3 linked regions of the Callithrix jacchus genome follow. The protein of the gene in region 2 interacts with the protein of the main gene of each other region in a pairwise test. Links are inferred from orthologs where the notes say so. Each region holds a gene or a part of one and is shown on either strand. Other genes may lie near its edges.

The links. The genes of interacting proteins can lie anywhere in the genome.
Region 1: the proteins of EHHADH (region 2) and SSNA1 interact in binary tests that used the Homo sapiens proteins (3 or more experiments, as listed by UniProt). The two-hybrid records come from large-scale screens. The link is inferred for Callithrix jacchus from reciprocal best matches to the Homo sapiens genes EHHADH and SSNA1.
Region 3: the proteins of EHHADH (region 2) and MID1 interact in binary tests that used the Homo sapiens proteins (3 or more experiments, as listed by UniProt). The two-hybrid records come from large-scale screens. The link is inferred for Callithrix jacchus from reciprocal best matches to the Homo sapiens genes EHHADH and MID1.

Annotation. Positions count from the first base shown.
Region 1 is NC_133502.1:185,598,620-185,602,293, forward strand, and holds SSNA1 (microtubule nucleation factor SSNA1), read left to right. Parts: upstream 1-1,562; 5' UTR 1,563-1,637; coding exon 1,638-1,689; intron 1,690-1,979; coding exon 1,980-2,179; intron 2,180-2,659; coding exon 2,660-2,767; 3' UTR 2,768-3,173; downstream 3,174-3,674. Other genes in the region: ANAPC2 (anaphase-promoting complex subunit 2), read right to left, coding at 377-999, 1,303-1,422. UniProt on the Homo sapiens protein: Microtubule-binding protein which stabilizes dynamic microtubules by slowing growth and shrinkage at both plus and minus ends and serves as a sensor of microtubule damage, protecting microtubules from the microtubule-severing enzyme SPAST.
Region 2 is NC_133516.1:14,207,642-14,211,289, reverse strand, and holds part of EHHADH (peroxisomal bifunctional enzyme), read left to right. Parts: intron 1-1,156; coding exon 1,157-1,329; intron 1,330-3,648. UniProt on the Homo sapiens protein: Peroxisomal trifunctional enzyme possessing 2-enoyl-CoA hydratase, 3-hydroxyacyl-CoA dehydrogenase, and delta 3, delta 2-enoyl-CoA isomerase activities. Catalyzes two of the four reactions of the long chain fatty acids peroxisomal beta-oxidation pathway.
Region 3 is NC_133524.1:11,281,329-11,285,563, reverse strand, and holds the start of MID1 (E3 ubiquitin-protein ligase Midline-1), read left to right. Parts: upstream 1-1,434; 5' UTR 1,435-1,677; intron 1,678-4,235. UniProt on the Homo sapiens protein: Has E3 ubiquitin ligase activity towards IGBP1, promoting its monoubiquitination, which results in deprotection of the catalytic subunit of protein phosphatase PP2A, and its subsequent degradation by polyubiquitination.

The DNA of each region.
Region 1 (3,674 bases), on a different chromosome or scaffold from region 2:
AGCAGCAGGAAGCTTCTGTTCACAACGACAGGGCAAGGTATGTCCACAGGGTGAGAATCATTCCTCCTCAGGGTCGACAAAAGCACAGTGGAATTCTGCAGAGTCCAGGAAGTTTGGAATTGCTAAGAAATTTGCTGCTGCAGACAAGCCACGTGGGCCCTTAGCCTTAGCATGACCCCATGGAACTGGATGTGAGTGACAGAAGAGAGACGCCTGCGTCCAGGACACACTGCACAGGAATCCCTGGGACTCTCTCTGTGTCATGTTCCTGGCTATCAGAACAGCTCACCAGCTTTCTGCAGAGGCCCGCTGGACCCAGGGTAGCAGCAGGGAACCGGAAGGAGCAGGAGCATGGCCATCGGGATAGAGTACTCACAAGACCTGGCTGAGCTGGTGGAACTGCTCCAGAGCTTGGCGACACCAACACTGCTGCTTGTCACTGCCGCACCCTGCACACAGCGGGCTCTGCAGGAGTCGGTAGTAGCGGCGGCGGGCATACCGGCTGTCCAGCTCCCCCTCAAGTTCCGGGTCTGTGCCCCCTTCTCCCTTCCTCTTACTCTGCATATAGACTCTCAAGAAGCGCCCATACAGACGCTGGATCATTTCTTGGAAGGTTCTGGGGGTGCTAAAGAACAAGACTCCGCGCAACATAGTGTGGACCTTTTCTCGCAGCCCCTGAGCACCAGTGCCCATCAGCAAGCCCAGGCGAGTCCATTTCTCCAGCAGCTCTAGGCTCCGCAGGTAGGGATCCAGGCGGCTCTCCAGCAGGCCAAAAGCATCAAGGAGCAGCAGAAGGCACTGGGGCTCATCCGCAGAGTTCTCGCGCTGGGAGATGGCATTCCAGAACTCAGGGGAGATGTTGGCCTGCAGATCGTTCTGCAGCACCTCTACGAACCACTCCTCCAGGACCGAGTGCAGGCCGTGGCCCCTCAGAACCTCCACCGCCGCCCGGAGCTCGTCTTCCTTTGGCGGGACTGCACCGCTGGTCCGTGAAGACACCTGGAGTGCAGAAAACCATGAGAAGAGGGGAACACAACGTAGAGGTGGGGAGAGGCGGGAAGGTTAGAAGCGGAGGGGAGGCTGCAAACTCCTATGCCCCTTGTCCGCGGTGCACGGGTGTTTAGCCGAAACTAGGGAAGGGCTGCCAGCGGAGCCGAACGAAATGGAACGGTGGAAGAAGGTGGCAGGACAGGACAGAGGCAGGTGACGAACAGAGCCGTTTGAACTCGAGGGTGGCCGCCCCAAAGCGCGTAGGGTCCCGGGAACTCCGCGCGGGGCCGCCGCTCTCTTCCCAGGCCTCACCAGCCCCAGCGCAGCCGGCGGCACCAGGCCGGTGCTCACGGTATTCCAAGCCAGTAACAACTCCTGTCCAGGCCGGGGGTCGCTGCCCCCCTGCACCGCCGCAGCTGCCGCCGCCGCCATCTGCACCGCCCCTGCCCCTTGATCCGCTCTGCTCCGCTCGGCGCGGCGCGGCGCGCGGCGATGACGCACATCTGGGGGCGGCGCGCAGCGATGACGGACACAAGGCGCGCAGCGATGACGCGCTACTTCGGCGCGTCGTCGGGAAGCCGTGCGCAGGCGCGGGTAGTGCTGCTGCCGCGGCGGTTGGGGCGGCGGGGCCCCGGGCGGCGTTGACCATGACCCAGCAGGGCGCGGCGCTGCAGAACTACAACAACGAGCTGGTCAAATGTGAGCGGCGCAGCCGGGGCGGGGAGGTCGGGAGGGGCGCAGGGCCGGGTTCCCGGCTCGCATCGGGGTGCCCCCTGGCCCCGCCTCGCTGCGGGCATCGCGCGGCTTGAGCAGAGCCCTCCGTGCCGGGGGCTTGGTGTCCGCGGCCCGAGCCCTCGCTAGCTCGCAGGCCCCGCGCCGGGCGCTCTGGGGTGGTGCCCGACTCTGGCTTCCTCGGGCGGAAGGAGGCCCGCCCTCCGCCGCCGCCCTCCTCCCCTGGGCCCACAGCGCCGCCCGTCCCGGCCCCACAGGCATTGAGGAGCTGTGCCAGAAGCGGGAGGATCTGTGCCGGCAGATCCAGCAGGAGGAGGACGAGAAGCAGCGGCTGCAGAATGAGGTGAGGCAGCTCACAGAAAAGCTGGCCCGCGTCAATGAGAACCTGGCACGCAAGATTGCCTCTCGCAACGAGTTCGACCGGACCATCGCGGAGACGGAGGCCGCCTACCTCAAGGTGGAGCTCGGGAGGCCAGGCGGAGCATCAGGGGGATAGCCACGCAGGGCGTCAGGACTGGCTAGGCCTCCCAGCTGTGGACAATCTGTGCCCTGCTGGCATATCGGGCTGGGGCAGCGTGGCCTGGGGCATCCTGGGTCCTGGTCTTTATCTGGTTCTCGCTAATCGTGTGGTTCTTTCTGCTCAGAGTGTGAGGAGCTAGGTCTTGGGCAGAGCACCCAGCATGGGCCAGTGCTAGCTTAGTCTGGCTTTGAGGGTGGGGAGGAAGTGCTTTGGGTCAGCTTCAGGAGGGAAGAGGGCCTGTCAGCCCGTCTGCCAGTCCGCCAGTCCCCTTGGGCTTCTCCCTTCCCCCAGCACAGGATCTGTTGGCTACAGCACCCACGGCCAGATCCTAGCACCTGAATGTGAGGACAGCTGGGCCTTAGGGCCTTCCCAATAGGTGAACAGTGACGAGCTTCTTTCTCAATTCTCTGGCCCCAGATCCTGGAGAGCTCCCAGACTTTGCTTAGTGTCCTCAAGAGGGAAGCTGGGAACCTGACCAAGGCTACAGCCTCAGACCAGAAAAGTAGCGGTGGCAGGGACAGCTGACAGGACCACAGGCGGGCCTGCCTCCGTGCGCCCCTCAGCTCAGCCAGGCAAGTCCGTCCTCAGCGCGTCTTTCATCATGGCAGCAGCTGCCTTCTCTCAACCTCCACTGGCATCGGTGACAAGCCCAGGACACAGCCCACCCGGGGGGGTGGGTCCTGGCTTTCTGCTCACACAGGCTATGGGAATGGTGGGCTCCAAGTCAGCTCTACAAGGGGCCTGTCTCTGAGGTACCCACTCTCCTGGACTGCCAGGGAGGCCCTGGTTGGAGTCTGAGCATCATGGGGGTCCCCCTACCTTGTCCCTCTTCAGCCAGGGCAGGCACAGGGGTTCTCCACCCCAGAACCCAAACCTCAGGGCTCACCCCTGTGGCCTGTGACTGTCAATAAAGATTATCTTTGTAAAGATCGGTGCCAGCCTGCTGCTTGCCTGTGTTAACAGCGTGGGACTGCCAGATACCCGCAGAGCCAGAGCCTGAGGCTCCCCCTTGGGAGAGGAGGCAGCAGAGTCTGGAGTGGCCTCTCTGTGATTGCCCTACTAGCCTCAGGGACACCACTGAGGGTGCCCACCCTGCCCAGGCCAGCCCCACCCTTAACCCTCCCCAGCAGGGCAGCCGATTCTTCCCCTGACTGGCCCCCCTCCTCTCAGGAGCTCTGCTCACTGGTCCTGTTCTCTGCCACACCTTGGCATCCAACATAGGACCCAGCCCAGAGAGACAGCTGGGGATGCCAAGCATTTTCACCCCTGCCTCAGGCCCAGGTCTCTCTCAGCAACGACTGGGGGGCTTTACACCCCCTGCCGATTCTTCAGCTGCAAGTTCTGCTTGGCCTGAGGACACCACTACTGCCGCCAGGGCCTGCTGTCTTCTCCCTGGCCACACCAGGTGCTGCCCACTTCCATCCTTTCATGT
Region 2 (3,648 bases):
TACCTTATAAAATAATTACTTTAATATTTAAAACTTGTACCAAGCTTAGCGTTTTCAAGGACTAGACAATGCTGTAGGAAAAGGCTTACTAGGTGTAATGTTATGTGAAAATAGGAAAATATAAAAATGATTCTACAGTATGCTCTAAATCAGCAGTCCTCAACCTTTTTGTTACCTGGGACTGGTTTCATGGAAGATAGTTTTTCCATAGACAGGGGTAGGGGGTAGGGGTGCAGGCCTGGGAGGGTGGAGGTGCAGGGATAGTTTCAGGATGAAACTGTTCCACCTCAGATCATCAGGCATTAGATTCTCATAAGGAGAGTGCAGCCTAGATCCCTCACATGCACAGTTCACAATAGGGTTCACACTCTTGCGAGAATCTAATGCTGCTACTCATCTGACAGAAGACAGACCTCAGGTGGTAATACCTGCCCATAGGGAAAAAACTAAGAATTCCCCCAAATATTAAATTATGGCTGTATGGTGATATTTAGGGTGATCTTCATGTTCTTTTTAATTTTGTGTGTTTTTCAAATTTGCCATAATACATGTTATTTTTATAAGCAAGAAAAGTAATAAATATTATGTTCATTGAAGATAAAAATCAATTACAAAAATATAATTCTAAGCTGGTTGACTAAACATAACTCACAAATATGCATATGTGTTACCCTGATACTTTATATTGTAATGACTGATGCTTTTAACAAAGATATGGAGCTAAATTGCTGTGAATAGGGTTGATTAACAGTATCACACATATAAAAATGAGAGGGGCTGACTCAGTCTCAGAATAATGGTCTTTGGAGGAGAATCCCTATTCCCCTTTTCTGAGATTTTTAATGTTTTTAAAGATAGTGTTACTACTTATTATATGGGAAGACAGATTTTACAAAATTACAGAACTCCTGGTAAAGATCTAAGGATTTCCTCTCATAGCATTCTGTATTCTCCAAGATACTTGTTTTCAACCCAGTATGAAGTGTAAGGGCCCAAAGAAGGCTGAGACTTCTTAGGAGTTACCAGGAACTCTAAAAGAAAAATTAAGAAATAAATAAAACAAACTAAAAAACTTGGAGTATCAGGTGACTTATCATTATATAACAATGCCTAGATATTTCTCAACTCTGTTTCCTCCTTGTCTTTGTGCCCTTAGGTGCTGATATTCATGGCTTCAGCGCTCCTAGGACCTTTGGCTTATCACTGGGAAGTGTAGTAGATGAAATACAGAGAAATGTGAAGCCCGTGGTGGCAGCAATCCAAGGCATGGCTTTAGGAGGAGGACTAGAGCTGGCCCTGGGCTGTCACTATAGGATTGCCCATGCAGAGGTAACAACCAAGGCTCTATATGGTGGCTGGTGTGTGGGGCTTTTCTTTAAGACAAACTCTAAATGTAGTTATAAGTATCAGAGGTGATTTTTATTTTATTTATTTATTGATTTATTTATTTTGAGACAGAGTCTCGCTCTGTCTCCCAGGCTGGAGTGCAGTGGTATGATCTCAGCTTACTGCAACCTCCACCTCCCAAGTTCAAGTGATTCTCCTGCCTTAGCCTCCTGAGAAGCTGGGACTACGGGCACGCTACCATGCCCTGCTAACTTTTGTATTTTTAGTACAGATGGAGTTTCACCATGTTGGCCAGGCTGGTCTCAAACTCCTGACCTCAGATGACCACCCTCCTCGGCTTCCCAAAGTGCTGGGATTACAGGCATGAGCCATTGCACCTGGCCCAAAGGTGATAATTTTGAATGGTTGGCTTACTGGTTAACCACTTCAGCTCTTATGTACCAATACAGTGGTACTAATTGTTATGTTAAAATGCTGTACTTCCATTCTCATTAGTAAACACCTACTACTCTGAGCCCTCTGTCTCCTTGCTTCCCTTCACCTTAGCCCTAGGGCCTCTATGATCCACCAATGAAAGGGGAACTCCCGACTCAACAGACAGCCCCAAGACTCTTCTCCAGTGCTATGACCCATATCAGCTTTCACTGATGCAGTGCTCATGCAGTATGAAGTATTAAATATGTTGGCTGTCACTTCTAAGTATACATTTAAATACTTATTTGATAACTCAAAGATTTCTGTATCATGGTCCCTTATAATTGTCAGTACCTAAGAAGACAAATTTCTATTGGAAAATAGCACAAAACTAGTAAATATGTTTATTTCTGGAAATAGGTTTAATTTAGGCTATTAGACATGTCAGATGAGGTCTGTGATACCACTCTGTATCACAGTATGTATAATGGTAGTATTTTTGTAATTAATATATTTTTCTAATGATAAAAGTAATATCATTCTATTAAACTAGAAAACATAAGAAAATATGCAGATGTAAACTAAAATCATCATAAACTCACAGTTCAGAAATAATCACTATTAATATTCTATTTCATTCTAGTCTGTTTTGTATGTAATTTTTAAATTACAGTTTCCTTTTCCTTTGAAAAACCTTCTTTTAAAACAAACTACAGCCTGGGCTCAGTGGCTCATGCCTGTTATCCTGGCATTTTGGGAGGCTAAGGTGGGCAGATCATGAGGTCAGGAGTTTGAGACCACCCTAGCCAATATGGTGAAACCACATCTCTAAAAAAATATACAAAAATTAGCTGGGCATAGTGGTGTGTACCTGTAGTCCCAGCTACTTTGGAGGCTGAGGAAGAAGAATCGCTTGACCCCAGGAGGCAGAGGTTGCGGTGAGCTGAGATCATGCCCCTGCACTCCAGCCTGGGCAACAGAGAGAGACTCCATCTTAAACACACACATACACACACACACACACAACATTTGGGCTTTTATTGTATTGAGTTTATACTCCAATTTTATACTATAATATTTAACCCATTGTTAAATATTCTTTATTCTGCCAACCTCTGTCTTTTAATTAGAGAACTTAATACACTTATATTTGATGAAATTACTGATAAGGAAGAACATACTTCTGCCATTTTGCTATTTGTTTTTTATGCTTTTTGGTTTTTTGTATGTATGTGCATTGTTGTTGTTCGATTCCTTTATTACTGCTTTCATTTGTGTTAAATGCAAAAGCGTCCCCTTTTAACTTTCTTATTTCTTTTACTATATATATTTTTAGTTATTTTCTTAGTGGTGGTTAATTTGGTGATTACAATTAACATCTTAATTTATGACAGTCTAGTTCAGATTAATACCAACTGAATTTTAATAATATATAAAAAATTTGCTCCTCTATAGCCTTCATTCCTTGCCCCTTTATGCTACTGTGCTATTATTGTCACAATTTATATCTTTATACATTATGTGCCCCTTAACATAGATTTATCATTATTGCTTTACATAGTGGTCCTAAATCACATAAGAAAAAGAAGAATCACATTATTGTGATTTTCATTATTTTAAAATGAAAAATACATTATTCCTGTCTTTTATATTTACCCGTGTAGTTACTCTTTATCAGTGTTCTTTATTTCTTCATGTGAATTCAAGTTACTGCCTGATGTCTTTTTCTTACAGCCTGAAGTATTTCTTACAGGCTAAATATACTAACAACAAAATCAGTTTTTCTTTATCTGCCAATGTGTTAATTTTACCTTCATTTTCAAAGGATAGTTTTGCTGGATACAGAATTCTTGACTGACAGTTGTTTCCTTTTGGCACTTTGCTTAT
Region 3 (4,235 bases), on a different chromosome or scaffold from region 2:
GAGATTAGGTCGTTTGCCTTCCAAAGCCAAGGGGTGAGGGGTGGACAGGGAAGGAGACTGTTCTGGCCAGAAAGGAGATAAAATCTGAGTGAAGGAGGCTGAAGGACAAATACTTCCATTCAGGATCTAGCACTGGCAGGACTGTTTGGTGTGTAGGAATTTAGAGCTGGTTTAGTGACTACAACCTGGCCTTAAATTTAAAAAGGGGGTGGGGGTGGAGCATGGCAGGTGGTGAACTGAGGAATTTACTGTGATCTGTAAAATAAGCTTAAGTACTAACTCCATTGTGGGCAGGGAGGCAAGAAACTTCCCTTTTATGAGGTGAAGATAAGCCTCTTCAGTCTGAACTTTCCTAAATTCCACTTCTTTCTTTTCTATAAAACAAGATGATAAAGAAAATGTGGCACATATACACCATGGAATACTATGCAGTCATAAAAAAGGATGAGTTCATATCCTTTGCAGGAACATGGATGAAGCTGGAAACCATCATTCTCAGCAAACTGACACAAGAACAGAAAACCAAATGCTGCATGTTCTCATTCATAAGTAGGAGTTGAACAATGAGAACATATGCACACAGGGAGGGGAACATCACACACTGGGGCCTGTTGTGGGTAGGGGGCTAAGGGAGGGATAGCATTAGGAGAAATACCTAATGTAGATGACGGGTTGATGGGTGCAGCAAACCACCGTGGCCTGTGTATAGCTATGTAACAAGCCTGCACATTCTGCACATGTACCCCAGAACTTAAAGTATAATAATAATAGACAAAGTGAAGTACTTTATGCTATCCATCAAAAATCACTAAATGTATTTTACATCAATTTGTGAGCTTATTATGCTAGAAAAGTTTTCCTTGGCTATTTCATATGGATATATGCTCTCTCCTCAACAGTTTCTGCTTTTTGTTTTTAGAATCTCACATAGTCCGTATCTTGTTTTTCAGAGTAGATACTATCGCTGTGGCTGGCTGAGTTCTCATCTCTCTGCAACCAAGGCTAACTGGTTCTTAGGTTACCTTGATGCCACACACCGAGAGTCCTTTCTGGATTTAGTGATTGGTGCTGCTTATTTCCACCTTCTCTGAGGATGGAGCCTCAGAATAGAGACCAGGTTGAAAAATCAGTCTTTTACTTAGAACTCTGAAAACAGGTACTACATCTTATCCATCTACAACCCTGTGACCCAGAAGCCATTAATTCGACATTACCAACATACCTCCACACGAGGACTTCATAATCTTCAATGTGAGAATTGAAAAAAAAAAAAGACTTAAGCAACTTTGGTGGGGAGGAGAACGATAACCTAAATTTTAACTGTCAGAAAATCTCTAACAGAAAGATCCCAATAATTGCCACTTGGGGGAGATGGAAGTTCATGAATTGCTCTGCTAATCCCTGAGGCAACAGAGCACTTTAACTGGTTTATTTATTCAAAGCTGGAATTTGGACGTGTGAACCATCAAGCTTAGGGAAATTCCTGGATGAGGAACACAGCCCTGGGAGAAACCTACCAAAGATGGAATTAGCACCTTGGCGAACTGCCTTCAGCACAAAGAACTTTCTTTCCTTGTGCGTCTTAAGAATTTACTTCAGTTCCCTTTTGTCTGAAGCAGAGGAGGCCAAGTTAAACCGTGAAGAAGAGTGCTTATTTGTCACTACCTGCAAACACATGTAAGTGCACAGTTTAAGCAGCGTTAAGACAGCTCTCAGATACTTGGATCGGAGTTTGGGTTGGTGTGGGTGGGCCTCAGTTGGTACCTTTCCTGAGGAAAGGAGGGAGGTTATAGAGTTTATCTTAGGAAATTCTGAGTCATAGGTATCACTTGAAGTGACTAGTGAGAGGGAGTTTGGACAGGTTTAGAAAAGCACCCTGTGGAAAACAAAGGAGAGAAAAAAAATTTTCGCTGCAGGAGTAATATTGTAGCCACATGGTGGCGTGCTGTGGGCTTTATTTCTCCTTTCTGATTCCTTCGGTGATGCTTGGAACCACCGGCAGGGTAGGGGTCCTGGCATCAGATTTTGGCCAGCGGAGTCATCAAGCAATGTAAATGTTAGGGGTCCATTTTCTACTTCTGCCTGGTCTTTTTTTCCTTCCCAAGATTGCCAATAAAGTGTCATCAGCCGCCGGATGCAGCGGCTCATGCCTGCAATCCTAGCATTTTGGGAGGCCAAGGTGGGCAAATCACCTGAGGTCAGGAGTTCGAGATCAGCCTGGGCAAAATGGTGAAACCCCATCTCTACTAAAAATAATAATAATAATTTAGCAAGCATGGTGGTGTGTACCTATAATCCCAACTACTCGGGAGGCTGAGGCAGGAGAATTACTTGACCTGGGGAGGCTGAGGTTGCAGTGAGCTGAGATCGCGCCACTGCACTCCGGCCTGGGCAGCAGAATGAGATTCCATCTAAGAAAAAGTGTCATCAGCACAAGAATTTGTCCCGCTTCTACTCCAAGAAGGGACAAAGTGGACAAAGAAATGTGGAACTTAAAAAAACAAATCTAGAATGCACTTTTGTGTATAAGAAAAGACATAAACATAGCCAAGATATCAGGTTGCACCGCCTGTGTGTTAGGCTTTCCATTTCAAAAGCCCTCCATCCTGACATAGGGATGACCTAAGGGCTCTAAGATTGCAGCTAGGATAAGGACCCATGGATTCCCACACTCAGTGCCCTATGCCTTCTGGAAGTTGCTGACACATGTTTGTGAGAGACATTCAGAAAACCTGGAAGCATGTGATGTTAGTGAGACATTTTGGATTTAGAGTGAGAAGTCCAGCTTGAGTTAGCTTAAGCAGAAAAAGAAATTTGGGGATCACACCCTTGGGAAGTACAGGGGTGGGTAAAGCCTCAGGAAGGGCTGGATCCAGGTACTCTGCCTCCATCTCTTGGCCTGATACCACTTAGTGTGAAAGCCTCTCTCCCAACTTCTTTAACATTTGGGGGAATTTGCTCTGACTGGGTCACATTCTTTCTCCTAGATCAATTACTGTGTCTGGGGAGGTGAGGCAATATGATTGGCTAGGTCTAGTGTGTTGTGATTGACGGCCCACCTGAGACCACCTAAAATGGGGGAGAGGATGTTCCTCAGAGGAAATGATGCTGAACAGACAAAAGCAGCATGAATCTCCAGGCAAATCATTTGTCTGTATGGACAGGAAGATCAACAAGCTGAGAAACAGGAAGTGATCCATTAGCCAATAGTAAAATTAATCCCAATTGCTGTTTTGCTTCCTTAGATTCTAACATAGGCCTAATGAAAAGGCTCTGGATTCTTTTGTAAATAATTTGGGAAATGCCTCTATTAATTCAAAGAGGATCTTGGAACTGTTTTCTATTCACAAATGCCCATAAAGAGGAACCTGAGTTGTAATCACATGCTTCTTTTATTCCTACAATAAAGAAAGCACCAAGAGTTCAATATTGAATGCCGAAATGAAAGAAAACATTCTGTTTAATCATGAAAAGAACCAACAATTGCATTTGAGTCTAAAAGTCCTAAAATTATCCCTAGAAACCTCTTAAGGTCTACATATTATTTGCAAGGCTCCCTTAATGCAAATGATCTGCTTTCTATGTTAGTCATCAGTTATATAAAACACATGCCCCAGCATGAAACATAAACGAAAACAATAAAATTTCAAGAAACCAAGGGCCAAAAATAGCTATAGTCAATTGCTGATAAGGTGTGAGTGGAAACAGTGGGACATTCTGTTCTGAATGACAATTATCCTTGATCTTCCAGGCTGAGAGGATTGTAGGAAGTTGTTGTGTAGATGGGCAAACTTACCTAGGCCACAGGCTGGCAGCCACATCCACACACCATTCTGAGCCTAGGAGAAAAGCCCTGGGCCCAGAGGTGAGGTGGTCTGGAAAGGGCACCCTTTGGAGTCATGAAGCTCCAACTCTGGGCTCTCTGTCAGCTGTGTGATATGGATATCATGTTACTTCTCAGAGTCTCCACTGCCTCATGAGTGAAGTGACAAGAATGCTGACATTATCTCATAGAGAAAATGAACATTTCTATATTGATCTAACTCAGGAGTCAGAATATTTATTCTGTGAAGGACCAGAGAGTAAATATTTTGGGCTTTGTAGCCCATAGACTCCATGGCAACTACTGAAGTCTACATGAAAGCAACCACAATGTGTAAATGAATGGATGTGGCTGTGCTCCAATGAAAGGTTATTTACAACCTGAAGGTGGCCCTCAACTTTGGCCCAAAGGC